3 linked regions of the Drosophila melanogaster genome follow. The protein of the gene in region 3 interacts with the protein of the main gene of each other region in a pairwise test. Each region holds a gene or a part of one and is shown on either strand. Other genes may lie near its edges. The genes, in order: CG13032, CG13965 and Hr96.

Evidence for each region.
Region 1: the proteins of Hr96 (region 3) and CG13032 interact in a two-hybrid assay, tested with the Drosophila melanogaster proteins (one large-scale study listed by BioGRID).
Region 2: the proteins of Hr96 (region 3) and CG13965 interact in a two-hybrid assay, tested with the Drosophila melanogaster proteins (one large-scale study listed by BioGRID).

The regions. Positions count from the first base shown.
Region 1 is NT_037436.4:16,669,803-16,681,031, reverse strand, and holds CG13032 (uncharacterized protein), read right to left. Parts: upstream 7,069-11,229; 5' UTR 6,885-7,068; coding exon 5,487-6,884; intron 5,431-5,486; coding exon 5,057-5,430; intron 4,999-5,056; coding exon 4,788-4,998; 3' UTR 4,768-4,787; downstream 1-4,767. Other genes in the region: lasp, read left to right, coding at 85-220, 1,100-2,224, 2,372-2,607, 2,674-2,853; CG43954 (uncharacterized protein), read left to right, coding at 2,860-3,216; zetaCOP (coat protein (coatomer) zeta), read left to right, coding at 7,533-7,550, 7,608-7,975, 8,488-8,578, 9,190-9,237.
Region 2 is NT_033779.5:19,958,549-19,969,090, forward strand, and holds CG13965 (uncharacterized protein), read right to left. Parts: upstream 3,805-10,542; 5' UTR 3,751-3,804; coding exon 3,727-3,750; intron 3,667-3,726; coding exon 3,289-3,666; 3' UTR 3,210-3,288; downstream 1-3,209. Other genes in the region: COX4 (cytochrome c oxidase subunit 4), read left to right, coding at 732-1,143, 1,203-1,339; CG34051 (uncharacterized protein), read right to left, coding at 1,616-1,802, 1,857-2,045, 2,111-2,233, 2,306-2,478; CG42866 (uncharacterized protein), read right to left, coding at 2,891-3,031, 3,091-3,114; CG16772 (uncharacterized protein), read left to right, coding at 4,177-4,206, 4,278-5,183; CG10680 (uncharacterized protein), read left to right, coding at 5,683-5,733, 5,791-5,817, 5,878-6,033, 6,096-6,227, 6,292-6,462, 6,515-6,733; OS9 (Olfactory-specific 9), read right to left, coding at 7,270-7,812, 7,872-7,928; Hf (helical factor), read right to left, coding at 8,399-8,962, 9,026-9,106.
Region 3 is NT_033777.3:25,019,901-25,031,129, reverse strand, and holds Hr96 (hormone receptor-like in 96), read right to left. Parts: upstream 5,896-11,229; 5' UTR 5,587-5,895; coding exon 4,920-5,586; intron 4,852-4,919; coding exon 4,795-4,851; intron 4,730-4,794; coding exon 3,906-4,729; intron 2,883-3,905; coding exon 2,673-2,882; intron 2,602-2,672; coding exon 2,389-2,601; intron 2,333-2,388; coding exon 2,132-2,332; 3' UTR 1,779-2,131; downstream 1-1,778. Other genes in the region: Smg6, read left to right, coding at 1-774, 1,012-1,148, 1,209-1,351; EMC6 (ER membrane protein complex subunit 6), read left to right, coding at 6,198-6,330, 6,387-6,595; beta4GalT7 (beta-4-galactosyltransferase 7), read right to left, coding at 6,664-6,913, 6,981-7,602, 7,664-7,760; tnc (tenectin), read right to left, coding at 9,771-9,873, 9,956-11,229. UniProt on the Drosophila melanogaster protein: Binds selectively to the HSP27 20E response element.

The sequences.
Region 1 (11,229 bases), on a different chromosome or scaffold from region 3:
TTGAGATAATGCTTTTGATATATGTAAAGTTCCATCCGTCCATTTGGAGTGTGCCCTTACCTAAATTGCTTTTGCATTCGACAGGTGGCCGATGACCCGGAAACGCTGCGTATCAAACAGAACACGAAGCACATATCGAATGTGGCATATCACGGGGATCTGGAGAAGAAGGCGGCCATGGAGAAGCAGCGAGGATCCGCCGAGGTCTCCGACAGCAGCAGTGAGTACTCGACCGACCTTCTCCCTATACCCCTCCATCTGTATCTATCACTATTTCCATCTCTGTGAGAGGACTGTAACTATTGTATCTTTCCTACTCATCATCACTGGTAACGAAGCTTTATTGCTTGCAACCGCTAGTTCTCTTAATAACGGTCAGTTGGTGGTGGGCCGGGCTTACTGTTTTTGAATTAATTTATTCGAATTTCAATTGACTTAATGTGTTTATAATAGTCTATTGACGTCATTCACTCATGCATGCATTCAAATGGTCACGACAAAATTACAAAGCCAGCTTACAAAGAACTTGTGTAGCGATTGTTATTGATTTGTTTGTTAATTGAATTAAACATTTAAATATACATTGAATGTCACTCAAAATTACCACCCCTCAAAAAAAAAAATACGGAATTTTAGTATAAATTCCTTTTTCTTTCTTTCCTTTCTATTATTTTATTTAATTTACCTTATTTTGTATCCACTGTACTTTTACTTTGTGGACATGCATGTGGCATGTGTGTCTGAATTTGAACTTCTGCACTGTCCATCTAACTATGTTGTATCTATTTCCATCACATCTGTCACATTGTGTAATTAATATTGATTATAATGCCGTTTTTTTTATGGTTTGTTTTCTCTCCTTTTATTTTGTTGTGGACTTTGTTTATCATTTGTTGCCATTTATCCCACACCATCAACAACCAACTGCAACAATAAAATCAACAACATTATTTGTGTGCTTTCTGAACTACCGTTAACCTAACGTTACACACAAAACGAACACCACACACACATCCACACTAACAACAACGACTGTGGACAATGGTGCAACTAATTAATCGTCACCTCGAAATCGATAAATATCGAAAAAATCGAAAAGATGAATCGGAATACTTCTCAGAGCAATTGGCAGCTGAACAATTCTCGCAATATGCACCCACAGCCTCACCCATACCGCCAGCAGCGACAACACTACACCAGCAACAACAACAGCTGCAACACCAACAGCAGCAGCAGTACCAGCAACATCAGCAGCAACTGCAGCAGCAGCAACACCAACACCAACACTATCTGCAACAGCAGCAACAGACTCTGCCACCGCCACCCATACAACACCAGCAATACAACACAGCGGCCATAACGCCCACATACCAACAACTTCAACAGCAACAGCAACAGCAACAGCAACAGCGGGCACAGCAGCAGCAACTGCACGATCCCTATGCACACTACCAACAACCGCAGGCGCTGCGCCAGCAACAGCAACAACAACAACAGCAGCAACAACAGTTGCTGCAACAGCAAGCCATTAAACAAGCCTCACATCTGTATCCCACAGCAACATCCCAGCAGCAACAGATGCCGCCACCACAGTCGCCGGCGAATCCGCAGCAGCAGGCGCTCAACAGCTACAACGAGATGCGCTCGGCCATACTCCAGAACTCGCATCATCCCAGCGGCAATTCCGTGGATCAGTACGACCAGCCACAGCAGCAGCAACATCAGCCGCAACAGCAGAGCACCAACCCCACGCTGGTGGCTGCCCAACAGCAGCAATCCCATCATAGCCTACTGAACAACAATGCCAGCAACGGCGGCATTTCGCACAGCCACCACAGCAACATCAATAATAATGGACACGGCTCACAGAACCAAATGTTGCCGCCACAAATGAGACGCTCGGCGGCCAGTGTCGTCGCCTACGATGGCAATAGCAAGCAACAAGTGGCAGCCGGCCCAGGAGCTGCCCAAAATCACCTGCAGCAATTATACGCGTCTCCCAATTACGCCGCTGTGACTCCATCTGAGAATTCAATAAACGTTAAGCAGCACGCCAGCAATGGCCATATGCCGAACCAGCAGCAACAGCACGTGGCAGGCGGCAGCAATATCGGGAAGATAGCGGACTACGATCCACTGACGGATGGACCAAGGGTGGTGCCCAATGCCGGACGGTCCAGCACCACTTTGGTCTACAGCTCCGAGCCACGTGGCAATCAAGGTGGTAAGTTACGGAGCAGGCTAGCTGGTAGTTCGAGGTAGTGATAGTGCGCGCTCAGCTCGATGTTACACACTCATCTTGTCCTTGTCCCCGGCTAGTAGATATGTAGCCTAAACAGAACTAATGTCCAGAACTTTTATGTCCTCACAGGCAACAGCGTTTACCCCAAGCGGATTGGTTCGGTTTCCGATATTGATCCGGCCAATGGCATCTACGGATCGCTCACCGCCGCCGAGCAGGCTCACCAGCAGCAGAAGCACCAGCAGTACTACCAGCAGGTACAGATGATGCAGCAGCAGGAGCACCCGCCGCAGCAACAGCAGATGCGCCAGCAGCCATCCTACTCCTCCCTGCAGGAAAAACAATCGCGCCAGAGCACAGCAATGGTAAGTTTTGTTGGCTGTCTATTGTTTATTACAAAGTTATTTTTAACTATATGTCCCATATTTTAGCGCGTCTATCGGGCCATCTATGACTATGAGGCGCAGGACGTCGACGAGGTCAGCTTCCGCGAGGGCGACGTCATCTTTGAGGTGGAGTCAATCGATTCCGGCTGGATGACCGGACGTGTGGAGCGTACCGGCAAGACCGGCATGCTGCCCGCCAACTACGTGGAGCAGGCGGTTATATAATAGGGAATGTTCTACTACTGCTGCTGCCGCCAGCAGTTTGTGGTGATCCTCGTCTGCCTGCTCTACATCCTGCTCGTGCTCGCCTTCTTCGTCAACGTTTTTATCGCGGATCGCAACATGCACGCGAATCTAATGATGAGGAACGGTCGGCACGGCGGAGGTGGAGGAATCCCTCCGCCAGCAGGCATGCATCCGGGTCACCACAATCCGTACGACATGCATGGCTACAACCACTACAGCAACTACCATCCGCAAGTGGATTCCAAGCAGCAGCAGGAGTTGGCCAAAAAGACGCCGCAGCAGCAAGCCGAGCAGGACATTTACTACTATTTTAATCATGTATTCAGGCGGCGACGGCGATGATGTGGAGGAGTCACACGCCCCAACCAACAGCCCAAAATTTAAATTTTTAGTGCATTAACTTATACTGCATCCACTACATACATAGATATATATATATATATATATATACTATATATAGCAAAGCAGCGGATTATGTAAAAAGAGAAGAGGGAAATTAATTAATTAATTTTAAATTTATTAGTAATCCAACCAAGAACCAACAATCCGATATCCATCTTATTAAATAAACAAAGCCACAGCAGAGTTATGAGAAATCAGCCAGAGAGTCGAATGTGTTTCAGCTATGAATCGGCTAATATATGTCAGCGGAACATATATCTGCACCGATTCCAATAAGAAATTGAGCGACCAAGCTAACCCAGCCAAGTTTGCATTTATCTACAGCCCTTAATAAATCAAATTTATACAGATATTTATTGAAGAATATACAAAACGTTAACCAACTAATCGTACACTATAGCTTACCAATCATATACAAGTACGGATATCTATAAACAATTCGATTAGCTAAAGTGCTTCAGCATAACATGTTGTGGATAGCAAAATCCCAAGGCAAAGGTTTTCTAATTTAATTAGAAGTTCTCAAAGTAATACTTACACGGGGCAATAGCGCTAACACAAATTTCCCCCGAGTTTTCTTCGGCTTTCTGAAAGCTTTTCGCATTAGCAGCAATCCACTCGGATTCTGATCGCGTCCTTATCCCTACAATTTTGTCAATTTATCTGTGTAAACGAGGAGGACTTGAAGGATATTGTTCTTGTTTTTGCGGGGGAAATTCATGTTTTTAATATATAAATATTTTTGTTAAGAGAATAATAATTATATATTGTTTGTTTCTAGTGTTAAATTGAAGAAAGAGAATAAGGTGGAGATATCGTTTCGTTTCACAAAAGAAATCCTTGAAAGTGCCTTTAATTTGCTAAAACGTGTTTTTTAGATAAAACCAATTTACTAGGCTTATCAATAATAATGCATTAAAGAATCAATAAAAAAAAATATACTTATACTGTAACTTATACATTTTCATACCATACGCGAGCAATGGAGAACGAATTTCTAACGCAAATAATGAAGCAATTTACAAACGGCAACTAAAACTAATTTAATATGTGATTGCAGGATCGTTTTTCTATGGCAAGTCAAGCTATATATAATGTATTATTAACTTAACTTACAAGACACTCACACACACACACACACACACACATGCATAGCTATAGACAGCAATTAATAACAATTATATAGGCATAATGCAATTGGAAATGCTTCGAGTGGAAAGAAATCACCTAACAAATACTTGAATTAATCTAATCTTATCCTGAAATAGAAGCAGCGCCAAAGGCTTCGTTTTGTGAACGTGTTACAAATCAAATAAAAATTTATGAAAATTTAAAACTCATTGTTTTCGGTACTTCAGAATCAATGATGTGCATTGCAATGCCATGCAAGTTTAATAACATTCCAGTTACATATAAATATGTATATGGCATGACTTCTCGTCCAGTTTTTTTAGCATTGCAAAGAACATAAAAACTAATCAAAATAAAAATCGTGGTTTTGTTCATCTTCATTATTGAATGGAAGTCTCGCTCGTGCTTTTATCTGCATTTTTGCTACGATCGCTCAATCCCTTTTCGCGAGCTCCAAGTACAGTTTCAAGGATAATGGTCTTCGTACTGTTGATGGTGTCCTCGAAAAATTTGGCATCTGCGTTCTTCTCCTCGGTGATATACTCCAGCTTCTCTGTCAGCATTGTGATTTTTTCCTTGGCCAGTTCAAGACTGAAAATATAAGTAGTTATAGTTGATTAAGCGATGGGATTGCCGTGTCCGAACTTACTTATTCTTTAGATCCTCTATTCTGGGCTCAGGCTGTCCTGCCGAATTCAGCGTATTTGTGGACTGGTACTGGGACTGATTTTCGAAGCAGAAGGAACCAATCGATCCGTTAAGAGAAGTGCGACTCAGCGAACTGGCGTAGTCGGCCATTCGCTGGGTGCGTTTCTTCTTATCGGACTGCACATCGAGTTCCTTCTCCAGGTCCCTGATCTTGACCTCCAGTCGGCTGATACGGGCCTTTAACTTGCCAATCTGCTCCTGAGCTGCTTCGTTCTTGGCTCTCTCCGTCTCCAGACGATCTCCTAGAGTTTTGGTGAGCAACATAAGCTGATTTTTCTCCACCTCTAGAGCATCCAGGATGCCCACAAATTCCTCCTGCGGAATATAATTAAGCAAATTAATAGCTTATGTTTTAGTGTACAGAGTTTTACCTTTCGAAACTCGCGGCAGGAGAAGAGGAATCCGCCGGATAGGGCGCGCAGGTCCATTTCCAGCTTCTTGATCATATCCTGCAGACTGGCCATGGCCACATCCTTCTGCTTGACCACCGTCTGCAGCTCCAGATGCATACCGCTCAGCTCTTCCATTTGCCGGCGCGAAAGATCTCGCTCCTCGGTCACCCGGACCAGCTCGCCGCGCATGTCGTCCAAACGGTTCTCGTACTGAATCCTCTGCTGGTTCAGTTTGTCATTCATGGTATTGATATTGGTGCCATTGAAGTCGGTCTGCTCCTCCAGCTCATTGTATAGAATCTTGTACTTGTTCATCTCCTCGTTCAGATTCTTGTTCCTCACCTTTAGGGCGAGTGTCTTGCTGCGTTGATCCTCCAGTTGGTTTTGCAGGCTAAGAATCTCCTTTTCCAGAGCCTCCACCTTGGCTCGATGAAGAATCTCACTTTTACGCACACCCGGTGTAAAGCGATCGAAGCTGGCCGTTGTGGCTCCGCCGCCATCGCCTCCACCTAATCTCTCAGAGCTGGCATGATGTGATCGACAGCTGCCGGTTACCAACTCCAGATCCGAACCCAACGGCACTGGGGCAGCATATTCGGCTCGATCTACGGCTCGGTCCTCGTAGAAATCCAAGCGAGCCTTGAGCTCGTGCACTTTCTGGTTGAGCGCGATGATCTGCTGAGCACGACCGCGCCAATTGGCCTGATTAAGATTGTTGGCCAGGATGTTGATGTTGCAGCTCTCACCGATCTCGTGCTGCAGGCACTTTTGGGCCAGTTTCAGTTGGCTTTGTAGCTCGGTGTTCCTGTTTCGCGTTTCGAAGAGCTTCTGCTGCATACTGTTGATCTTGGCTTGGAGCTCATCGGGGGAGCAGCCCTTTTTTGGCAGATCCTGATTATGCTGCAGCTTCTCCTCGTGCGCACGCAGCTCCTTCTCCAGCTTCTCGATCTGAGCATCCTTTTTACCCAGCCGACTCTTTGCCTGCTCCAATTCGGAACGCATCTGGCGGTTCTTCTTGCTCAGTTCCAGGATTTTGGTGCTGGCAATGGAGGAGTTGCAGCGCAGCTCATCAATGGGCACGGAGTTGAGCACCTCGTTGAGCGAATCAACCGATTTCTTCAGGTCGGATATCTCCTGATTCTTCTCATGAATGGCCTGGGCCAGTGACTGCTTCTCCTGCTCGCATTCGGATAGCTTTTTGCGCAGCTTTTTGGACTCCGGCTTTGTTGGCTTTGGTTTTACCACAGCGGTGGTCAGCACCACATGGGCAGCGGCCATGGCATCATGGTCATGCCGACGTCGAGAGGAACGGCCCACTTTGCACCCCAACAGCTCCTGATCCCGATGGGCTACATACTCTTCCGGCAAAGTCTCCATCGCAATGCCCTCTAGTTGTTCACATAAAAATATACACAATTGAATCTAACAATTTCGTTGGCTGGGCGAAAATAATTTGTACGTGTGCCTGTTCTTGTTACTAAAATATTCACAAATTTTGGTTGTCATCAGTTGTTTCTAGGTTATTCAAATTTAAACCTCATTTGAAACAGACAAATCAAAGGCAAGGCAATTTTTAAATTTGGAACTCTTGTCATAATCAGGATTTCTTCAATAATAGGTAAGTTAAAAATAAACAGAGTTTCTGCAATAATAAAATTGACATTGACAATTCTTTTCTTGATCTTTCCAAACTGTTGTTTTATTTAAGACAGGATAATTTACATTTAAACCGTTATTCTTTTTTTACATTTACATTATTTTATTTTAAATACCCCAGCAAAGTACGGCCAACGTCAAGCAAGCCAGCCCCCCATGTGTTTCAAATTATAATTTAAAATATAATAATAAAACAACGATAACGGCTTAGCTAAAATTCAAAAATTTTAACAGTTTTTCTAGATAGTTTTAACTGTATCTAGCTATTTATTTTGTGACTCGAGTTGGCAGTACTGTTTAGTTGGTATAATTTAGCGGTCGCAATATGGTCATACTAAAGTGACGTGTAAGACACGAAAACAAGTGAAGATGGACGGATTTATGATGGTAAATTGCAAAATACACAAGTAACTGGCTTAAAATCAAACCCAACATGTGCTGCAGGATATCATCAAGGGCATGTGCATCATGGACAACGATGGCAACCGCATCCTGGCCAAGTACTACGACAAGAACATCCTGTCCACGTTGAAGGAGCAGAAGGCCTTCGAAAAGAATCTGTTCAATAAGACGCACCGCTCCAACACGGAGATCATTATGCTGGACGGACTCACCTGCGTGTACAAGAGCAACGTGGACCTCTTCTTCTACGTGATGGGCAACGCCTACGAGAACGAGCTCATCCTGCTGTCCGTGCTCAACTGCCTCTACGATTCCATTAGCCTGATCCTCAAGAAGAACGTTGAGAAGCGCCTGGTGCTGGAAAACCTGGAGATCATCATGCTGGCATTTGACGAGATCTGCGACGGAGGGTGTGTATTAGCGTATACAGTGATGGATGGAAAGAACAAGGGACCAAGTTAAAGCAGCTTTCATTAGCAGCAGTTCGTTTAGAAAACATCAAATTATTACTACACAAGTTCCCATAAATAACATTGTTATTTACTAGTCTATGAGTTAGGCCAGCTCAAGTGAAGCCTCTAAGTAGTTAACCGCATTTAAAGCTTCCTTTTTTTTAACAAAACCTAGTCAAGTCCAATGAAAAGTTATATGATAACTGCGATGTTAGGGTATAGGTACAAAAGTTTAATTATATAAATCAAACTAAATATTAAAATATATTAAACTTAAAGATTAAACTAATACATACGAGCACTGGCATCCTAGGCATGCAGCTCGTATAAGTTTTTAAGTTTATAGGCTGAGCTTTAGAAATCACCTGAGGTACAAAAAGATATACTTTGCCATTCATCACTGTATATTATGCATTACATATTATTAAATACAAATATTCTATTTAAACCTTTACCCGTTTTCCAAATAGCATTATTCTGGATGCGGATCCCTCGTCGGTGGTGAAACGCGTTGATCTGCGCAACGATGACATTCCCATTGCCGAACAGACCGTTGCCCAGGTAACTAACACCCTTAATGGTCTATTTTGGTAGTCTAACTACTTGGTAGCTCTTCTAAGTGTTTATAACTCAATGGTAGCCGTTTGTACTTTAATTTTGTCTGGTTTCGTTTCGCAATTTGATACCCTGCAGTCAAATATATTCTCATTTAGTTTTACCCGCCCTATGAACAAATAATTAGGCTCTTTGTTTTTCAAGACTATATGTAGTTAGTAACTGAGTTAATATAAGTTTACAAGCTTTACACATTTGCCTAGATTTATTTGTTATTCGCATTTTTGTTTAATTACGATCTATTTTCAGTTTCAACAAAAGTGTTTAAATGTTGTAAAATTGTACCTATTTTAATGAATGCTTCCAGATAATATTACTTATTACAATTTAAAGTAGTTGTGTCGGCGTAAATTTCTTTTTACCTTTTGTACATGTTACCGAATTTCGATTACTTTTCCCCATATCGCCCCATTCATTGTACTCCGAGAATGTTCAAAATAAAATTGGTGAAAATGTTCTGGAACTTCGCGCTCATTTTGATTTGTTTCATTAGCTAATTGATCGAAATTATTGCCGAGTATCTGTATCTATATATGTGTGTGCTATCTATCTTTTAGGTTCTGCAATCGGCACGTGAACAACTCAAATGGTCCATTCTGAAGTGATGTGAAATGGGGTGGCGGAAGAGAGGAAGCCACTTCCGTGCCGCGTTGTCGCAATACATTCGATTCTTCTTTTAGCGCCCACTTGTTTTCGCCTAGTTGTAAAGCATATAATAATACATACATTTAACTGGAGAGCACTGCATGTTTTAATTTAGCATTAAACTACTAACTCGGTGTGTCATAGAGTAGCCAAAGGCACCGACGGGCGATTGGAGCTGCCAAGTTCCGTTTGCGCCACTATAAATCTTTTGTGCGTGGTATGCAATCGAGTTCTTAGATAAGGGAAATCACCTGAATAAACAAGGACTGTATTTAGGCAAATCTAATAAAAGCTTTGAAGACTTTCCAGACTAATACTGAATGTATTAAAGAGTATTCCCAGGTTCGTTGCTATCGAGCTGCTATGGCTTATCGCAGAACTTTATGGTGTTACTGAAGTCCACAATAATTCTTATTTTGCTTAATCGATGAAGTAGCGCAAGTAGCCATATAATGCCAGAACTGACCCATTCAACGCAACGCAGATCGGTCAGTATTACAATAAGATAATGCAGGCAGGCATTATGTTGCAACTGACAGCGCAATCACCAATCATATGCAGATGGGGTAAATCGAAACCACTTGTCTCCAGATACGAGGATAAAGTATGTCGTAAACCCACGTGACCAGCTGGTGTCCAAGCAACTTGGCCTGAAGTGGCACCTAAAACTGGGAGTGCTAGGGTATTAAAGTCTCTTTACGAGGCAGTGCTAATTATTAAGCGATTAAGCACCGATAATCTCAACATCTTTATAGTAGGGGGGCGCATAAAAAAGTTCTATTTGAAGAAGCAGTTCCAAACGGCTTTCAACAGCTTTGTTTTCTGGCAAACTCAATGTAAGGGCATTGGCACTTAAACTCATATTTGTTTGATTTATGGCCATTACAACCAAATGGATTACCTCTTCGCCATCGCATGGGGCTATTAAAAGCTTTAGTTATGAAATGAAGTTCTGCGTTGCAGGAAAAGAGGGCAATTAACGAAGACTTGTTCAATTGGGGGACTTACATATCATCTCTCTAAATTGCCTTATTCCGTAACTCCGTTTAATATCTAACCAAACAATAAAAAACAAACAGCTAGCAATTGTGATTCACTTGTTTTCCCACCTCTCGATCGCATGGCCAACATGCTATCATTCAACTTCAACCTGCTGCTCGTCCATCATCCAACGTACACCACCCATGAACCGCAGACGTGCTCCGCTCCCACTGATATATCCATCCACCCACATCCACATCCACCCCCGTTTACCCATCGTTCCTTAATCAAATGCTTGTCAACATTGCAGCCAAAACAATAACAATTGCAAAATTAAGCGCCTCGCGTTTATCTGCCTTCTGTGTTGTCGAATTAGACAAATAACACCCAAGTGGGGGGAGTCAGTTGGGGAGGTAAGTAAAGTACACAGCTATATGTACATATCTATCAGCCGTAGGAGCTGTGGTATCGGTACCGCACTTGATGGATGGATTGCCCGGGATCACGTTCAGGAATTCTGGCAAAGGCGCAACGTCCCCGGAATTAGCTGCTTACGTGGTTGGGTGATGACAGGGGCTGCTCGAATCACAGATAGGATCTCATGGGTTCTTCTACTCAGCTAATATAACACCTATATTTCTTTTTGAAATACGTTCGGAATGATATATAGATTAGGTGTCGTGAATAAAAGATGGAAAAAGTTGAATCGTTTTTTTCTGGAAATACTTTAACTTCTAACATATTTAGGTATTAGATCATTTAAAGCAAAGTACATCCCCATGCCACCTTAAAGTACAGTTACCCCATTAATTTATACCCAATATCGGGTTCTCAAGTATACTCCTGCACTATCAGGGGGAAGATTGAGATTACTTGGGCACAGAAAGAGGTTCCACATGATTAGCGCCACCGTTCCAAAAAATGGGTTCCAATCGGATTAAGATTTACGATCCCGATCGCCAGCCCCATCA
Region 2 (10,542 bases), on a different chromosome or scaffold from region 3:
CTTTATTTTAATATATTTAGATTTAAATACCCCGCCGAATTCCGATTGCTAGCGATTGAATATATCGATATATTAATATTTATATTTTTTCATTCGAGATGTGGTCACACTTCTCTGCATGAAAATACCAAAATATCGAGCAATAATTACCCATCCATATATATATTTTGTTTTGTATATTCCCTCTGGTCACATTGTTCAGCAAGTCTAAGAAAAGTAGGTAAAAGTGCTTTAAAAATTGTATTAATTGCGAAAAATATCAAGTACCTGCGACCACAAAGCTATTGAATACAACGAGCGGGATAAGCAAGCCGACATAAATTGGAAAACCAGTTGCCACCGGTTTATAAGCCGTTTTCCGGTAGATGCAACCGCCCACCGATTACACAACATCTGTGATGGCTGTGAAAAATGGGAGAATTATGCGGATATTATGCCAAACACAGCACGAAATCGGGATAAATATATGGCGACAGGCGTAGAGGAACCTCAAAACAATGCGATTTTTATGGAAATAGATTCTATAACTTGGCACGTAGTTCTGCTAGCTGTTACATAACCTCCAACTAAGTGGGCACCATATATCGGTGAATTCGTAACCCGTTAGAATTCACGGATGACCGCCTGGTCGGGTGGGAAATTTGGCTATCGCGGGTCCAAGACCCTATGTTCCTCTGCTGATACCTCATAAATTGATATTCATTTTACTACCTTGCAGACTCTGTGAGAAAATGGCCCTGCGACTACTCAACAGTGCTGTGCTCCGCCAGCTGGCCTCTCAGCTGCCCAAGAGTGCCCAGGTGGGCAGCGTGGCCGCCGTCCACACACTGGACAAGATCGGCAAGCGGGAGATCGTTGGCTACGGCTGGAACGGCACCGCCTGCTACGCGGATCGCGTGGACTACCCTCTGCCCGCCGTGCGCTTCCGTGAGCCCACCAACGAGATCAACGCTCTGCGCGCCAAGGAGCAGGGAGACTGGAAGAAGCTCAGCACCCAGGAGATCAAGGCCCTGTACCGCGCCAGCTTCTGCCAGACTATCGCCGAGGTCCAGGCTGGATCCGGGGAGTGGAAGCTCCACCTGGGCGTTTCACTCCTCTTCTGCGCCGCCGCCATCTGGGTGGCCGTACTGATGAACATCTTCGGTAAGCCATTTTTCCGGTTCCCTTTTGCGGCTATCCATTATTGAGCATTTTCCTTTCAGTGTACGATGAGCTGCCCGTTACCTTCGATGAGGAGCACCAGAAGGCGCAGCTGCAGCGCATCATCGACCTGGAAATCAACCCCGTCACCGGATTGACCTCCAAGTGGGACTACGAGAACAAGAAGTGGAAGAACTAAGTGCGCTGTCGTTAAATAATTCCGCGATTGTGTGTGATTAAGTTAGCCGACGTCTATGTGTATTAAGTAAAAGCAAGATAGTCGAAATTAAAGTTATGGCTGCTGCCTAAATCAATCGATCTTGGGTCAGTCATCAGTTTCTGCTAGGAAACCAGCCTCAATGATCCGTTTTAAGAGCAATGATTGTTATTCGATTTATTAACAGACCTTTTAGTGTGTAGATTACAAACTTTTCGTTACTAAAATCGCCACAGGCATAGCCAATTTAATTACCACTTAGTGAGACCTTTTAGCACTCTTATGTCTCATGTTCCGGCTGTTCGATTTTTGAACCTCATGAACAAGGATCTGCAAGGCTTCCAAGGCATTTGTGTTCTTGGCAAATTCCCTTTCAAACATGCGGCCGAATCTTAAGATCAATGGTTTCAGTTCCGGCGTTATCATTGCTTTCTCTTTTTCGGTCCTAAAAAGGCGGATTTCAAAGGCATTGCCAGACATATAGGCGAACACTACTTACACAGCTCCCTTTTTTATCACCTCTTTCAGGATCTGGACAACCGTTTGAATGTCCCCAAATAATCTGTACTTGTCTTTGGTAGAAATTTCACCGTCAAAGAATAACTTCAGTTCGTTGTCAGTTATATTCTTCTTTCGACCCCATTCCTCCAGCTCTGCCGTCTCTTTTTGGTAGGCGCTCCGAGCTCTGCTGAAAAGAAGTCAGGCATTCCTTGATCTCAGAGCATTCATACTTGATGCAGATGATGCACCTACCTCCAGTTCGAAATATCCCTAGCTGTCTGCTTCATCTTTTTTAAATGTCCTGATCTGTGTTTGAAAGTCTTCTCTTCTTTCTCCTTTGCAACTGTCGCCTTTGGTTCGGCATCTCGGTTAAAGCTATTGAAAGCGAAAGGTTGGTGCCATTCGAAAGTGTATATATCCTTCAGCTCGATCGAATCTGTATCTTACTGTTTGTGCCAATCGTATCCATCGTATGGAGGCCTGTGCAGATTGTGTGCTCGGAGATGACGCTGTCTTTCCATCTGGGTGTGGTTCTGGTTACCTCTGCTGTCCACCTGGAGGAAGAGCAACAGCAGGCAATGGAGGATGAGGATCGCAGCGGGATAGAGCCTTGGTCCCATGGCTGTAGTTTGTGGAGTGACAAATTACTTATACGTTAAATCACAATTAAGTGGGCTGAGATGTATTATGGAACCAATCGATTTCCCATTAGTCACTTATCTCAAAATAGAAAAAAAAACAACATATTTTTAAAAGGGGGTTACTCATTCTAAAGAAAGGGTCAATTTATATTTATAAAATCCATTTCTCCTCATTTGAAATGTATATCGCTTGGATAGCAACAATTAATGCGATTCAATTTATTATTTACACATTCGAACAGTGGAAATGTTCAATTAAGCAGTGATCCATTGATATGATGAACAAGGCTTCCGCTTCCCATTGTCTGGCGAGATCCGAGGCATTATGGCCCTGTGAACGACTTTGCAACGGGCCATAAGTAATCGCGTGCAATCCCAACCTTGTCGGACATCAGATGGAGTTACGTTGTTTATGGTGGTGCCTCACACGTGCTGGCCAGTTTTTCCAGCGCTTTTCCTTCTCGATGTTGTGGTATCCATCGTGGCCCACGACATGTCTGGGCACTACTAGCTCCAGGGACAAAAAGAGGCACTGATGTGAAAATATAATATATACGATAAAAATGTTACTATTTCTTTATCTCTACTTACCAAGCAGAAAAAAATCAACCGCATTGGGAAACAATAGACTGGCGACTAATTCAATTCGTCATCTGTGAAGTTCTTGGTAAAACCACATAGGGTGTTCCCGAATTTCGACGGAATATATTAAAATTATTTAGTTTTTTATTCAATAATCTTCAGAGATTGGTCACAAAACGAAAGGGTATAATGGGATATACATATGAGCTAGGGACGTGGCGTGGTAAAGGCATCGTTCCAGCTTGCCCAATGCTTCTCCGTCTTCAGGCTGTGGAAGCCATCATGTGCTCTAACGTGTCGAGGTCCCTTTATATGGCTTCCTGGCTTCACAAATGGATCTCCTCCATTTTCAGGGTCAGGCGAGCCGTTCGGGTCTGGGTTGTCCGTGCTATTAACCATATCGGTGCTATTTGTTGGTGATTCTGTGACCTCCGACCCCGCTTCTGTGGTCTGAGTTAATTCTCCGATGGAACTGGCTTCTGTAACTGGAGACGTTTCGCCATCTGTTGGGGACGCTGGAGATGATTCAGCCGCAGGGGTTTCCTGAGCCTCGAGCGCGGCTACCAAGAATATAGCGATTCCAATCTAGAACAAAGAAACGTTCGATTATGTGCAATAATGAGGGAATGCCCCATTGGCACTCACCAGCTTCAGTTCAAGTTTCGCCATGCCTATCGTCACACCTGACACATAGTATGTGTACCTATACTGCGTCGAAACCAGAAGCGCCGACTGGGCAAAGCCACCTTTTATAGTCGCTGCGCAGGTGGAATCGATTGGAGCAGTTCTAAATTGATTGCGGGAATCGCTGCCTGGTTCTGCGGGCAGAACTAATTCTCTTAGTGACCAACTGATAGATGGCGATCTTTAATTTGCGAACGCAGTCCGGGAAATTCCGGCAGACGCATCCAACACCTGATGCCAATCGGGTTTTTCGAGAGAGATAGAGAGCTGATTGCTCTGGGGCTGTCTGTAATTGTTGGCTTACCGATTTCCATAATGGTGGGCGATTCTGGAGCTATATAAGTCAGCTATGGCCGGCAGAGAACAATCAGTTTTCGCTTGGCCCTTGCTAGTTGAACTCAGTCGGTTGGGATGTTCATCAAGTTGCTTCTAATTAGCCAGGTTGGTGCCAGATCTTGGCCAGGACAAAATGGCTCGAACTATGATTAACTTAACATACATTTTAATTCTAGCTGCTGGCGCTGAGTTACGCTCAGTTGTCGCTCGACGAGGCTAAAAAGCAAATCGATGCCTCGCTTTACAGCGAAGAGGAGACTACCGATGATACGCATCTGCCGGAGCCCCACCTGCCCCCCCAATATCAGCCTCATCATCCCCACAAGAAGGTGACCACCACCACTCCCGAGCCGGAAACCACAACTCCAAAGCCAGAAACCACCACGAAGCCCGCAATAGAGCAGGAGGGTGAGGCCACCGCTGCTCCCGATGACGGACTGGGTCAACTGGATGATGGCTTGCAACAAAACAATGATGGATCTGCGCTTCCAGAGTCCACCACTCCGGAACCGGAAACCACGACCCCTACGACGACCACCACCACAACGCCAAAGCCCCATAAGCATGAGCCCCACTTTCATCCCCATTCTTATCCGCATCCTCACCCCTATCCCTACCCCATTCAGTATCCCTACCCCCATCCAGGAGTGATATTCTCTGCCGCGGGACCTAAGCTTACTCCTCCATCGACCACACCGCCCACTGCCAAAGATGCGGACAAGGAATCGCCGGAGCTGTCTGGATATCCCTCCTATCCGACCTTCAGATCACCGTACTCGCCCTACCAACCCCAGGTGTTCCCTCAGCCTCGTAACTGGCCCAGCTTCCCAGGATACGGACCTCCCAGTCCCGGTTTCGGATACCCCCACAACCACAATCACGATCACGAAGAAGACTCCGGCGAAGATAAGCCCAAGGACAAGTCTGGTGAAAAGGATAAGGACGAGGATGTGGCTCTGAAGCCACCAGGATTTAGCTACCCGCAGGTCTATTTGATTCCCCGAAGACCAGTGATCTCTGTGCCCAGCTTTCCGCGTCCAGGAGGCGGATATGGTTCGCCCTACGGCTACGGACTCTACTAACACTCTCCGATAAATACTGTGAAAAATCTCCGAGTCCAGATAGTCAATAATATCTTAGTTTTATTTCAATCTTGAAATGTACTTCCTAACACAATAAACAACTTTTAGATTATATTTTCATGAGTTTTTAATATTTGCATATAATATTTAATGCTTTCGATCGTGTAAATCTGAGTACAAGGTTCTTCACTGAATGTGGGACTGCTTGGAGTTTTCTTTCGGTGCATTAAGAACTAGTAAGTAAGTTAAAGGCTCCTAGATTCGGGAAAATGATAATTGATGATTTGCGCATATGAGATTGAGTTATGGGCTTCTGATTTCCCTATCGTGTAATCCCCAGGCTGATAACCCCGGGCCCCGACGCTCTCACCTTGGTGATTTCCAGTCGAACGGGTTGGGATCGTGGTTGCATTTAATTGCAGCGCATTCCACCCAGTCAACTCATAGTTCTGTCGATCGTCGGAAGTTCGAGACGTGAGTGTCAGTCGAGATCTGCGAGATGTTGCCGCTCCAATTCGTTTTGCTGGGCTGTCTGTTCATCGCTCAGGGGGTAACTATTCATCGGTTTGTTCCACAATTTAGGCTTCAATGAGTTCTATATTTTCAGATATGCCACACTCTGCCGGATCCCAAGGTAAGTTTGCTAGCAAACAATTTAGATAGTATCTTCTTTGCAATATTCCATAATCCACAGCTAAGGGTGCCTCGTGAAACTATCAACATTCCCACGCATCTCTTCAAGCCAGTGAGTCCGAAATCGAGCAACAAACCTATTTCTAATAGATCATCCTTAAATGGCGGAAACAGCTCTGCCCTGGCCGAAGCAAATAACGATGTCGAGTTTCTAGAGGTGAGTCTCATCCAATACACTTAATATAAATGGAAATAAATATATATTTATTATCCTTGAAGAGATCTAGCGGTGAAGTGGAGGAGGTGACCGACACCTACGAAGAGGAGGACGTTCCACTCCGACCTATCCCCTTCCAACCTCGACCGTTTTATCCTCAGATCCCTCCCCGATCCAACGGTTTCCCCATTCGTGTAAGTGTTTTTATAAGTAGTTACACATAGTATTACAATCCGATTGACGATTGAACTATTTCAGCAACCCAACTATGACAATGCATTCCAAACCGATTACAATGTGGGTCCCAGAGGCAGCGGCTTCGACAACAGACCTTTTCCCAGTTCCCCGGATTTCCGTGGCAGAGGCATTCGACCAATTCCTGACTCCCCATTCCGCAATCAAAACTTAGGAACCTTTGTATCTCGACCGGTAATCTTGTGCAATCGTTTTCCTAACTAAAAAACTAATACACCTTCTCCAGGTACCTATGCCATCCAGTGGTTCCATTATCCCCCTTATCGCCGGTGGTTCCAGTATTCCGACTGGTAGAAGTGGTCCCCTTGGTTCCGGGGGCTCTTCTAACAACTTTTACCGGAGCGAATCCTATAGCTACACATCGGATGGAAGAGGACCTCCCCAAATCGAGCGGGATGTGTTCGACTCGCGGGATGGATTTGGATCATCTTATCGCAACTTTTAACACCTTTCCTAAGAGAAGCTGATGAATGAAAGTTCCGAGTTCTCAAAAACAACTAGTTAAGGCTGCTAGAGATTATACTGACTTGTCTGTGTGTAATGTAAAGATTCTTGGCATTACAAATAATCAGTTATTTTACTTTCCGCACGGTTTATTTATCAGACTAAATAACAATTGTATTGAATAGAAAGTCAGTAAAACTTTCAAAGCTATTGAAACCTGACAGCTTACAAATCTAAAAAAGGTATATTAAGGTATTCAATACCTTTGTAAAATGAATTCCACATTTCTTACGTCATACCTGCACTAAGTAGTAAACACTTACTAGCGTATTTATTATATGCTCATTGATTGTTAAATCAGCTGCAATATGTAATCAAATTTTAGCTTCCGGCGAGCGTGCTAATACAAAACATGAACTCTGGACTACTGGTTTTGATATTTGCAAGGCAGTTTCTGGAAATAATATATACGTTCGGACTATGTATCTGTAGTTATTTGGTTTAAACTTAAATGTACTTGAAACATGATATGTTTATTCAAATGAAATCAGAGTTGGTTAACTTGTCCAGCTTCTCATAGACATCCTTTTCGTTCTTAAAGTCATTAAACTGCTTGACCATCGCCGCGTTCCTGGCCAACCGACTGTCGGACCATGTGCTCATGTATTTCTCCACCTTCTGCTCTACGATTTTCAGAGTAGTTTCCAAGTTTCTTTCCAGGATCTGCTCCAGGTCCTCAACTCCGTGCTGTATGAATAGCTGAACGACAACCTCGTCAGCTTCCGATTCGAATTCTTTGCTGCCTGCAATCGAAATGATGCTTTCCAGTTCCTCAAGAGCATCCTCCAGTCTGTTCAGCTCGAATGAATCATCGAAGTCCAGGGTGTCCAAGGCCGCGACGAAGTCCTTAAGCTCCCTGAGAATGTGTCCCTTGGAGTTTGGTGGTAAAATGAGTTCGGCCTCGTCGATGACCAATTGAAAGACATGTCGTAGCTGTTCCATGGCGTCTGTTACCATTTGAAAGAGTTCATTGGACACTTCGAATTGTAACTGCCATTTGTTAATGAGAGGCGCTGCAAGCTGAAAGTTAAAGGTTTCTGTTGATTCCAAAAGGATATAAGCAAATCTAAGGATCTTACCGAAAGCTGGAGGGCAGCTACAGCGACTAGAAAAGTCCAAGTTAGTCTGCTGGCCATGATTTGAAACTGTATCTAGTCTCTATCGAACTGATTCCTTTTATATTCCCTCTCTTAAATTCACAATTTTTATACAAAATGGGAGAACGCCTCCTCTGTAATGAATACCCACTGATCGTGAGACAACGTATAGACTGTAATCAGACTTCAGAAATCGGTGAGCGTGATAAGAACGAGTGCTGCCCCTTCGTATATTAATTAGTGGGTAGTGGAAACCATGCATTTTGTTATTACAAAGTCGTATATAGTTCCAAGTCACGATAATATCTTTATTGCTTTAAAGTATCAGTTCTCGATATCTACACATGTTGATCAGACAGTCGGAAATTTTCCGGAAGTTAAACGGCATTTTTCAGGAATAAAGTCCTCGTATAAATAGATTCCGAATATTGTTCTTTGAAGTACATTTCTCATTTTATTACAAACACTTTCTAATTCTATGATATTGTTTAAATATTTAGCTATTAATCTTAAGCCTTCGTCCATATACCACTGGCCACCCCCTGCACCAAAGCCTGAGCCAATTTGGTGTAGTCCATTAGCTGGAGCTCAGGAAGTTGGCTCTTCAGGTTCTGGGGAAACTCCAAGAAGGTTGTGATCAGACTGTCCTTGGTTTCGGTGGCCAACTGGGTGACGTTGGAAACCAATTCCGACCTGTCCTGTCGACTGAGTCGCAGATACTTGGTAAGATGCGGCTTGACCTTGGCGAAGAATCTGCGGATGGCGATCTTCTCGCCGGGAAGAACCTCGACGAGCAACTTATCGGGAGTCTTATGGTACATGAGGTCGCTGTTTATCCAGGCGAAGATATAGAATGCAGTGCTGTAATAGTCCTCGTTCCCAGCAACCAGGTCGAGCTCCTCGAAGTACTGCCGATCGATGGTTTCGTTGGCCGGAAGACCCGGTAGTCGTTGGCGGGCATCTTCGATGGTCGTGTAGAGCACCTGATTGAAGAGCCTCTCCACCGCTTGAATTGTATTTCTCACCAAGATGGTAGGGCTGCGTTCTTTCACTTGGGATGAGTCCGCCAGAGCCTGGCAATCGAGAGGAAAATCAATAAGTTCCTTATCTAATCCACTGCCGACTCACCGACTCACCAGACAGATAAGACCCAGAAGCATCGAACAGCAAGTGCTGCCGCCGATAAGAAACCTCGAACTGCGCCCTGATCTCGCCATGCTCCTCTGATCGCTGCTCGATTTAGACTGATCATGTCGGACGGATGCCAAACGGTCTCCCCACCCAAACAATCTCGACTGGCTTAGGTTTTGTTTGTTTTATTAAGCGCAAGTAGAAAATATCTCAAGTACTGTTTATACGAATTTCGTAGAGTGAGCAAATTAATGGCCATTAATGTTCGTTCGTGGTTTTCTATTTAAGCTAGCTAGGAAAAAAAGATGCCGTCTAGTCGAATGTTAGTAGTAATCTGCATACACACGAGTAACATTAACAATTAGATTTGTAAATTACACATCTTAGCATATACTTAGGTTATTAGCAAGCTACTGCATTCTCATATTGATCCGGACTATATGTATATATATATTCATATTCAGCATTTGTAAATTGGCTTGTAACGGGAAGAAAGTCGTCCGGATAATCAAAATATGCTCATTCTTTTGTACACTTACAACATTTTCAATCTGATCTCTAAAGGTTGGTAAAATCGAAAAAGTGTTTTTAAATAAATTTAATTGTAAAGAAAAGAGTCTGGATTACCAAAACATCCTTAATAATTTGTACAATAACCATATTTTCTATATTATCTTTTAAAGTTGTGTAAAATCAAAAAATATCAAGGATCAAGGATCGTTTGGCATGCGATAAACGTCCTTATAACTATTTCATTTTGTATCTCTGCAAAAGTACTTATACATAAGTCTTATTACATTTACGTTCAGAATAATACGCTTTACCCGCGATTGTTGGCAAATGCACTGGCATTTTCAACAATCAGCTTAAAATAATTAAATTAACGTCCAATTGACTTAGGAATGCATACTTTATAGTTGAATACTGAAAATTTTTTGTTTTGAACAATTTTAATCCGCATTTCGAGATAACACACATATGTAGGTACACATTGTAGTAGGACTATCACTGAAACACCAAGTTGCATATTGATATATATTTGATATAAGTTATTTCGCATATATACATAGCTTTTTGTGTTGCAGTTGTCCAGGCATTGTACTGATTTGGCTTTTAAATATATATATATATATATAATATTCTTTATAATTGAGACCTGATAGCAGCCATTGTCGTAGTTCACACCTAAGGAGATTCTAATTCAGTTGCTTATACTAACGCTGATATTTGGATTAAATCTTTACAGTATTTTACGAGTTCTCAAGGTACATCTGACATTCAGGACATTGGGGCCATGCAGACCCCAATAGTCGATAACAAGTTATAAAATAATCGTGACAAAATGCAAAAATAATATGCTTCTATCTTATGCTAGCTAAAGTTCTTAAATACTTATAAATGGCTAGTAATAGTTAGTAAGAAAATATACTCATATATATTTATGATCAATTGTAAATTCTGTTATCTAGAAGACAGTCCATGGAGTAGAGCTTACAACTAGGTCGAATATCAATAGAGAAGT
Region 3 (11,229 bases):
TGAGCTAACAATCCTTTTTGAGTACATTGAATGCTTAATGGGGAAGCACAAACTTGAGAAAAACGAAATACTGTTGGATGAGGATGTGGCCCTTAGAGGTTTCACTCCGTTGGGTCGTGAAACGCTGAGCATGGACTATCTCAAAAGAGGATCCGAACGTCTTCAGTTTTTCGAACGTGTTCGTAGGATTGGTCAGTTCCAGGAATACTACGTCCAGCATCAAGAGGCTCTCCAGCAGCCGTTGGAATCAAGCTTCACTGTCGAGCACCTAAACGCAGCGATGAAGAACGCATTGGAAAACTATGATGCTGAAAGTTGTGGTCTTGCGGCGAACGTTTCAAAGATTCAATGTAAAGCCGTTGAGGAATTGTTGTGTCGTTCAACTGATTCCGATGTTTCCGAGCTGTGCAAGCTGAAGAAAGAGCTTGAGGCCAAGGCTAGGGTTAAGCAGATATGCACCAGCAAGTTGGAGGACATTCTCAAGTTCGTGGACACGAAAATATACATCGAGGTGCGACCGCGCTATCTTCTACCGGATACCAACTGCTTTATCGACTGCCTTGAAGACTTTGAAAAACTGTCCACGGAGTTTAAACGCTACACACTTATTATACCACTGACAGTGGTTAAGGAACTGGATGGCCTCTCCAAGGGCGTTAAGTTGGACTCGTACCGCAGTTCGAAGCAGACGCAGCGCATCCACCACTTTGACGAGGTGTCGTCGCGGGCCAAAAAGTCGTTAGAGTTCATCAAGTCGGCCAAAGGCAATGTGAAGTAAGCTATTGTTAATTATATTCCGCGCGTCAGCTCATAGTTCCTTTATTACTGATATCTGATAAAGGGTTTACTAGCGATTAGCTATTTATAATTCTGTCTAATTCATTGGTTGCTATTGAGATAGATAAAAGTTTCCTGATAATGTATTGAAATTTTACTTTTAAATCAGTAGTAATAGTTGTTCAGGAAAGCTTTTCCTGCTGATCAATAATACCTTATTGATTTCTTTTCTAGATGTGCTACCACAAAGGGCTCGTTTGTCAATGCATCGGTGTTTGCCCTAGTTGAGGAGGAATATTTGTCCAATGACGACAAGATTCTGGCAACGGCAATGGCTGTCTCGAAAACGGCAAAAACCGAACAATGCACAGGTGAGCTGCTTCCGTTAAATGTCCTTCCTGATAGCATTTCTAACTAAAACTCTTTTGCAGATGGCAAGTGTTTCATTCAAACGGAATTGGTGCTCATTACAACCGATCGTAATCTGCGTGTGAAGGCTCTTTCTCGCAATTTGGCCGTCAGCGCGTTGGATGAGTTTCTGCAATGGGCCAAGGATTGCCGCGAATCAACCTGAAAGCCGATTTGCGCGGCGAGTGGACCGGATAACAATTGGAATGGACTTGCACGACGCACATTGGTGGTGCGGAGCGAGCTCGAGCTATTATATTACCTACATTATACATAAATGACTATGTAAGACGGGGTCGGCAGATGCGGACACATACGCTGGCTGCGGATACGTACACGACGTGGATTTCTGAGGACTGGTCGCGGGTACACATGCGCGGTTGCTGTGGTGTTTCCCCGGGTTGATGCTTTAACGAAGCACATCTCTCGTTGGTTTCCAAACATCTTATTTGTTTTTTCCTACTTCGAATTTTTATTTTGTGACTTTCGGAATTAAATTATTTTGGATTGTTGTTCAAAATCACTCGTTTGCGTAATTTGTCCTGGAGGGTTCGAAATTCATTCGAGTAGAAAAGAATACGAGACATTTTATTACCACTGGTTCTCAAAGTCAGTTTATTTTTTTTGTCTTTTTTCCTTTTTGCACAGAACCCACGCTTCCAAGTTAGTTATTGCATTATCGTCTAGTTTATTTGAAACTAGGTAAACGGTGTACATTACATATAGATTGTGTTGCTTTGCACTTGGTATCCTAAATATGCTCTCTTTGATGTAGAAATATAAAATCTATGCAGTATATGCAAATCTAACAATCACATTCGATTAAAATCTAACATTACAAGCGACAAGATAAAACAGACATCAACAACAACAACAACTACAGCTTGTTGACCATTCATCATTGGGCATCAACATAGGCATTAAATGCCCGACACGCATCGGTTGTCTAGTGATTTTTCAAATCGAATATTTCACGCAGCAAGGGCTCCACCTGGGATGGGTTAACATTCAAATAGACATTAATTATGAACTTGTTCAGACGCTCCACATCTGAAATCTTTTGGATTAGCTTGATAAACGCGTTTCTCGCCTCACAGCCAGAATAAACACTCTCCAGATATCTTCGCAGAAGATAATAGTAGGAATTCTATCGAATGAAAGAAAGTTAGTAATACTGCAGTATGGTATCAAGTGCTTACTCACCTGTTCCAATCTAATCACGTCTTTGTGTATCACTCGCGATCGAGCCGAGGTAAAAAGGACAATGGCACACATGATCAGGATTATGTTCTCGTCCATGCGCCACTTCTCGTCAAACGTTGTGATGAACTTTTGGTGCTCCTCGTAGATATTGCCTTCGGCAAACTTGAGCAGGTCAGTGCGTATGTTGCCCATGTTCTCTTTGGTATGGGGTACCTGTAGGAGCACATTGTATCATATCATATCAGTCTAATAGAATATTTAGTTATTTAATTAAGGCTACGTACCTTCCAGGCGGCGCGATCGTCGTCGTAAATCATTACGGAGCGCATTATCATCATTTCTGTGCAGCCACCTTTGAGTAGGGCCACCTGGTCCTCCTGGCACATGTCACGGAATGCTGTAATCTTCTTGGCCATTTTGATAAGCCGCTTGATGGCCACCGCCGTCAGATTGATCAGCTGCAATAGCTTTGGGTTGTGGCGAGTGTCGTCGGGCTGTGGTTCACAAAACAAACAAAATGGAAAAGAACGAACAGGTGGCCATTATTATCGCCATAATCGTAAAGGCTTCTCCCTGGAAGGTGACTCAATCGAATGGCGGAGCACTGCTTATCATAGCGCCCAACACCTGGCTGCTCCATATATTTCGTCAAAATTGTATCGTTTTTCCCAATTAACAATACTGAAATGTGCTAATTGCGATGAGGCAAAATCGGTAAACAGTCTAAGCGACAATAAACGCCCAAATCGACGGCTGGCTGGAGACTCATGAGCGCCTGCTGGTACTCTTGATAATGGTTGATAGTGTCACAATTGGCACGCCCAGAGGCTGATAAAGCCGCTGTCTGCTCCTTCTTGGCAGACCAGACGTTCTGATTGCATGAAAGCTAGGGTGGCTCGATTAATGGGACAACAATTCGTGGAAGTGATGAATCATTATTGGATAATTCCAAATCATTTCTCCAGGGGAACTAGAGGTCGATCAAAGGTGTGGACACATCTTAAAAAATAAAGATAAAGCTAAAGATATAAATGAGTGCCCGATTTGTTCCGAAAATAGCCATATTTGTTTAAATACTCATCAAGAAGTATATAGAATGGAAGTTTGTCACGTTTAGGGTCTTAATTAAAGGCCAATTTTCGTAATCAAATATCTTAACTAGACCCAGTCGCATGACTTCAAATTCTTTAACCCTCTGGGGGAAAATAGCTTATCTGGTTCGATCAATTTTCTTTTACTCGACCAAAGCTCTTGGGAAATCAAAAACTTTGAGCCACCCCATTAAAAAGTGTGTTTACATTTGGTAGGCGAGCATTGCTGGGAACCCAGAAACTGGCTGACGAAGATACGGCCCGTGGGCCAACATCGAGAGACGCACTGAATCACCGAATGGCTAAAAAGTGCCAGGTGCCGTGTGTACATATATCGCAGCTCGCACACTCTGATTAGATAAGCCGTGGTGTTGGAGCTATAAATGTAGAAAGACCTATAGGCTAATACCGTGGACTGTTGGTTACCTTAATGCGATCATCGCCCATCATCAGGGCGCTGAGGTCCTCGTCCACGGGATCATAAAGAGCCTCGCTGGCCAGTCGCAGCTCCCGCAGCTTCATTTGCTCCGCCTCGTTTAGCTCGCGATCCAACTGCTGGGTGGATGGGGCGCAGATGGGTTGCTGCAGGTGCGGCTGGCTATTGTTTGCAGCCGAATTGCATCCACCGTACGTAGACTGAGTGCCGTAGGACATCTCCTCCTTTACGCGCGATGCCGCTTGTTGTATGCTATTGAAGGCCTGGTACTCAATGCGGATCACCTCGGATAGCACCGATTCGATTGAGTTAATGCTAAAATCACTGTCCAGACTGGGCTCGTCGTTGTAGTTGGTCTGCATGAAGGTCTTCAGATCGAAGTCCGGCGAGTTGGCTATGTAAGGCAAGGGGTGGCTACTCGATGTACTGGGCTGCTCCCCGACACCGGGCGAGTGGTACTGCAGATCCACGGCAGCATCATGTGGCGAAATTGGCGGACTGTTGCCCAGCATGCTTTGAATGACAGTATCAGCTCGCTCCGCTGGCGCTGCAGGCTTCACCGCCGGCTCCTTGTCCAGCAATGGCTTGCGGTCTGCTGTCTGCTGGGCTGCGTTCGCTCCTCCGCCGCTTAGGATTCGGTTAAGAATGCGCAGCGCCTCCGCTGGGGTATTCATGAACTTGTTCATTATATCGATGGCGTCCTCTGGCGAGTGCATCAAGTTCTGCATGAACTCCACCACGTCCGCGGGCGAATCAACTATCTTTGAGATAATTTCAACGCCGTCCGTGGGTGAGCTCATGAATTTGGTGAATACTGCGTATTTAAATTAACAAGGAATGTGAAATTAAGTTTAAAACCACAAATTTTAAAACTCTAACCTGTCAGCGCGTTAAAGGGCGAGTTCATAAACTTTGAAATGATCTTGAGTGCGTCGCCTGTAAAGATTCAAGTCGTTCATAGGTGAGCGGATAAGGCTAAACGATGAAATCTTGTCTGCACCCACCTGGATAGTCGATCAAATGCGACACCAGCCTTAAGGCGTCCTTTTGTGAGCTGATTACCTTCTCCATCACCGATATAGCCTCTTTCTGCGTGCGCATCAACCGGTTGATGGCCTGCGAGGCTCGATCCGGGTCGGATACGATCTGGTCGACTATCTTCTCGGCCGTCATCTGAAGCGGATTGACCTGTGTGCCCGGCGAACTGGCCTGTCTGCCGGAGCACCCATTGGCCCCGCTGTCCGCCGAGCCGCAGCTCTGCGAGTCCTGTGACCCCGAGTAGTGGTCAAGGTTGCTGCTGCTGCTATCCGCCGGCGCTTTGTGATCCCTTTCCTCGCCGCCATCGGCGTCGCACGCATCCGTGCCGTTCTCCATGAGGCGTCGCTTGGCCCGGTTGGTCTCGATCTTGCGCCGCTTGATCAGCTTGTCCTCCTCGGACATAATGTTTTCACTCTTCATCCCGATATCCAGGCACTTGCGCAGGCGGCATTTCTGGCAGAAGCGTCGAGTGACCACAGTGATGTCGCAGTTTTGGTTGAAGGGGCAGGTGAACTGCTTCTTGGCCAGCGCGTTCCGTCGGAAGAACGCCTTGCAGCTCTCGCAGGTGACCGCATTGAAGTTGTAGCCCAGAGCCTTGTCCCCGCACACCGCGCAGTTCTTCGGCGGCGACATTTCGACGGTGGCAGCTTTCAATTAGGGCCCTCTGATTGATTTTTTAATTGCCCCTCTCCTGGTGGTGCGGTGGAGCAGCTGCTGTCGGTGGAGGAGGCGCTGGGGGGGGTGGCTGGTTTTAATGGAGGTGGTCGTGTGTGGTGAGGCAGGAACTCTGCGTATCAGAACAACTGTCCGCGCGACAGCATAGCAGTTAGTACCCACGTCAAACGCACGAATTGCACGCAGATTCGGCAGCTCGCGTTATCACCACATATTTTAATGAATTACTGTCCGTCCGAGTGCTCCAGGCCAATCCCAATAACAACAATCTACGTGCCCGGGCGAATGGCAAACGCAATTGTGAGCCATCGAAGCACAGAGCGGTGAGAATAAATATACACTTCAGCAAATATATTTGATATTGTATTAAACTTCATTATTTAACATTAAACAGCTCGTCAAGTTTATCTCGGAAAATTTACAAAAACTATTTATCCTGCAAAAACCGCTAGTGAATTTTTACAGTGCATAGTTATCGGCACCAATCGATAACACAATCGGCACACAATCGAAGTTCACAGCCTAGGAATATTTTTGCTAGAAATTAAAGTAGAATTTAATTAAATAAAATGAATCGAGTGAAGACCACGCAGTCCAAGACTGGCGAAATAATCGCCTACAGCGAGGGCGCCATCCGGAACAACATATCCGCCGTGGAATACTGTCGCACATCGATGGCTGCCATCTCGGGCTGCGCTGCGGGTAATTGGCTCCAATTGATGGTGAACCAACTTAGTTAATGTCCCACCAATTCGCAGGTATTTTGGGCCTGAGTGGTACGCTGGGATTCCTTTTCTACTTCCTGTCCGTGTTCGTGCTCTGGATTCTGGTGCTCGTGAAATCGGGCACCCAGTGGCGCAAGTTTTTCATTAACCGCAGAAATCTGCTGACCAATCAGTTCATGGGCGGCCTTTGCACCTACGTGCTCTTCTGGACATTCCTCTATGGCATGGTGCACGTGTATTAGCGCATTTATACAATACAACACACTATAATAGCGAAATAAACATAGGATCTTTGGTTTAACACAACCCATCAGGTTTGTACCGCCGATGCAGCCGCTGCCGTTCCGGAGCAGTCGCACCAAGGCGTTTTATTAACATCACAATCGAGCAAAATGTTGAGGATGGTCACCGGCACCTGGTCAATGAGCATCTCATGCACCTTAAGTATTTTGTACTTCACGTTGTCCAGGCCCGTCTTGTGGTCCCGCTTGCGGGTCATCTCCTTCTGGTTGAAGCACTTCTGGGTGTCCCGCTTACGATGATAGCGGTTGTGAATATGGCTGAGGTTGAATGACAATAATTATTAGTAGTCACGTCTAGTTGCGAAATCCGGAGCACTGGTCTCACCTGAATGTATCATTAGTGCCAGTCTTAATGTTCTGCGGCCGCGTCACCTGCAGTCCTGCATCCCGGATGCGCACGAAGAACTCGTCGTCCTCTAATCCCCAGCCCCAGTACTGGTTCGACATGCCGTTCATCTGCTTAAAGTGCTCGCGTCGCACCAGTAATATTCCTCCAACGAAGTTATCATAGTGGTATTTGGGATGTAGCTTCGGTCCGGCGATGTGCAGTGGTCCCAAGCTGCTGGGATACTCATAGAGCAGATTGTCATTCAAGGGCAGCAAGTCTACGTCGTGCATGGCAATGTAATCGTACACATCGCTGGCAAACTGGAAACCCACGTTGATGAGAGAGGCGCGATTGAAGCGGAACCTGTCCACCTGGTTCAGCACAAAGATGTGGTGCGCCACGCCCTGCCGCTTCAAAAAGGCGGTCATGTGGGGGACGAACTGGAGGAGTTCCTCAAATCGGTCTCGAAACGGCACCAGCAGTGCCATCTTGTGTACGGACGCACCGTGGTCATGTGGCTGTGGCTGCTTCTCATCGGCTGGCTCTTTCTTAATCACGGATACACCTTCTCCGCCACCGGCAAGCTTGGCCAGCGGATTGGACAGCGGGCACACGCAGTCTATTAAAAGAGCGGTTCCGGATCAGTATTTATAGCAAGCGTTCATGTTTCGCAGACGCACCTGATCCCAATGGCATGAGACTGAGCACCGCAATCCCGCCCAGGCAAAAGGACAGGCCGCAGACGAAGACCCAGTTTATGGTGGATATATTCACCATTTGGAGCCGCTTTTATACAGAAGTCCAGTGGTTTGAACGAAGTCGGGCCATAGGCGGAAAATATTATAAACTTTTTAGCTGCCGGTTGGAAGTGTGCCCGCTGATGAACCGTTTAAAAATACCATAACGTAGAAATATATTCGATTGCTCGATTGGAAAACATCGAAATTCCCGCTTTAAAAGGTGAGCTATAACGATTTTTTAAAATTTCAACTTAACTAACGAGCAATCTATTACTTTAATATAGAGCCTAACCTTTATTTTATCAAACCATTGGTTCTGTGAAGAAAGCCATTGAAAACCCTGTCTCTTTCTAAGAACATTTCACATTTGTGTATGCAGTGTATAAAGGATATCCAAAATGACCACTTTAATTACAAAACACTCTCCAGATATACATTTCAATAAAAAGCGTTGTATTTATTTATTAGATTACAAAGAATAGCTGCATATAAATTATGATAAGGTATGGAAACACAAGAGCTGTTCTTAAAAGACATATCAAATAAATAAGATCTAAATTAAAATTTATTTATTTATTTTTAAAATTAAATACTTAGGGCTACAACTATAGTTAGAGATTATATAAAACTAATTGATGTTCGTATTCATTCAGCGCGATTCAAGCGCTTGAAGATTTCGGCGCATTGCTAAGGCTCAAGTGACTGAAGATCCATTCGTTTCGTTCTATTCTATGACCAATAAAGTAATGACCAGCGCGGCAGCTGGTAGTTAAAAAAAATAGTTTACAAAGATAGCTCCTCTCTGCGATCGGTGCGATTTTCAATCAGTCGAGCAGTAGCGATGGCCGACAGTGTGTTTCCGGTTCCGTAATCGGTTTCCGTTTCCGTTTCAGTTTCAGTTGATCTAAAAATTCTATGTAGACTACGGTTTGGCCACCTCATGTGCACCTGACACGGGTGCCAGTGCAGGTGCACTAGGGCGAAGTACAAATTCAATCCGTTAAAACTATGCAATTCGTGCGTTCGTTTTGTAAAATTGCTATAAAAACTAGTTCGTTCGTTTCTCCACTCTACACGTATCTTGTATATAAAAGTATAAAAGCTTGGAATAGTTCATAGAAGATACAGTTTTTCAACTCAACTCAACTCAATTTGATTCAACTGGTCCGATCCGATCTGATACGATCTATTATAATCTGATCTGATGTAATATGATACGATCGATCGGGTTGTGCGCGTGTTACAGGCGGATTCCGTTGCTCTTGCAACAAAAGAAGACTAGAAGCAACAATTATACACAAAAATAATAATGTTTAAAATAAGGTGACTAAAATACTATAAAAGCGCATTGGAGAAGAGTGAACCGCCGGAGGGGGCAAGTATAGAATCCCATCCGGTGGCCGAATGCCGTGGCTTCGTAACGCCATTGATTGCGATCCGTGTCCGAAATATCTTCGCTCTACCTATCTGTGGTGTAGTGTGGTGTGGGGTGCTGAGAGTCTCTTGAAAGCGATTGTATGGCGGCGGGCACAATGAACGACCTTACAAGGCACGCGCTACGTCGGCTGCTGTGGTGGCTATATGTCCTGTCACTAGGGTCACAAGCCCAAAATACTAGTACACATACAAATACAAATAAGTAATCGATTTAAGTGAGCGCGTCTAAATTAATTGCACCTATACTATGTATACAGTACAATATCACTGGTTGCTTCGTCACCGTAACCTAATCCGAAACAAGTGGGCGTAATCCAATTGATAGAGTGCGTATGTCGGCAAACCCAAAATTAACACTATTGCATCTGGTCCGGTTACACTATTGCTATTGCTATTGGCTTTTCCGGACTTTCTGTTTCGGATTTCCGGTTTCAAGAGTTCTGGTTCTGTTTCTGTTTCCGGTTTCCTGGCTCTATGATTTCTATTGCTATTGCTATTGCTGCTAGTTGGCGAGTGGTGCTATCTGGGCTGGTTGGTTCGTCGGTTCGTGATTGTTGTCTGCAGTGCTTAAGAATTAGTTAAATTATATTTAGTGAGCATGGCTGGTGGTTCATCTCTTGCGTCCCGACACCACGGCGGCCATCACCTGCTGCATGGTGGGTTCGGGAACGCACTGCTGGGGATCACACTTCATCTTGCCGTCTCCACCGCAACTGAAATTGAAACAAGATGCAGATCAGTCATAGGAATATACCAAATACCCAGCGTTAGGTGGCATCGATGTATTGTACTTACGTGCAGCTAATGCAGGGACCGCTCGTGGACTCGATTTGCTCGCCCACGCGGTATGAACGGCCGTTGATCAGGCAGCCGGTGTGCTTCACCGCCTCGCCGTGCGAATAGTGCAGGAAGTGGGGCGGCAGGGTGGTGCTGGTGGTGGTGGTGCTCGTGGTGATGTTCAGCACGGCGGCCATGGACACGGGGCACTCGTAGCGCGGACAGCAGAAGCCGGAGATGGGCTCCTCGTGGCAGCCGGCAATTGGCGGCGGGCACGATTGCTGCAGGCAGATGATGTCGCTTCGGAAGCAGAAGCAGAAGTCGCAGGGATCGTCACGTGGAATCTGCTGGGCGGACACGTACAGCTTGCCGGCGTAACGGCATGTTCCGGGTCCAAAGACCTCCTCCTCGTCGTACTCATCCTCGTACTCGGGGGCGTGGCCGTAGGGAGGCGGGGTAATCGGCTGTTGCTGTTGGCTGGCCACCGTGGTCGTCGATGGTGCGCTGGTCACTGGAGACTCTGTGGTGCTGGTGGTGGTGGAGCTACTCAATTTGACAGTTGTGTTCTCCTCATCCTCCTCGCCAACGCGGTCGTCGACGGCTGGTGGCGTCGTGGTGCTGCTGGCAAGGTGCGGGAACAGTGGGTGACCAGTGGTCGGTACGGCCTCTTCACTTGGCTGAGGAATCTCCGAAACTACAGCTGGTACCTCAGGCTCCTCATGCTTTTTGTCAGTATCCTCCTCAGTCTCCTTGTTCTTGTCCTTCTTGTCAGCGGATTCCTCCTCGGACTCAACGGACTCTTCATCCTCCTCCGTGGAATCCAAGCTTGGCTTCACGACTGGCTCCGGAGTGGTCTTCTCATCGACCGATTCTGGCTGCTCTGTAGCCTTGTCCGTCACCTCCTTCTCCAGCTCTGGTTGCTCGGTGGCCTTCTCTGGAGTCTCCTTCTCAAGCTCAGGTTGTTCGGTGGCCTTCTCTGGAGTCTCCTTCTCAAGCTCAGGTTGTTCGGTGGCCTTCTCTGGAGTTTCCTTCTCAAGCTCAGGTTGTTCGGTGGCCTTCTCTGGCACCTCCTTTTCAAGCTCTGGGGCTGCAGTTTCTGGCACAATCTCCGCCTCCGTGGCTGGAGATTCCGATGGCGTAGCAGGTGCAGAAGTAGGTGGCTTCAGTTTGGCATCAGAAGTAGGCTCATCAGTGCTGGTCTCCACATCATGGACAGGTGGTTCGGTGCTCTCTTCACCATCATACTCAGATACAGCAGGCTTCTCGCTGCTTGGCTCCACATCGAAAACAAC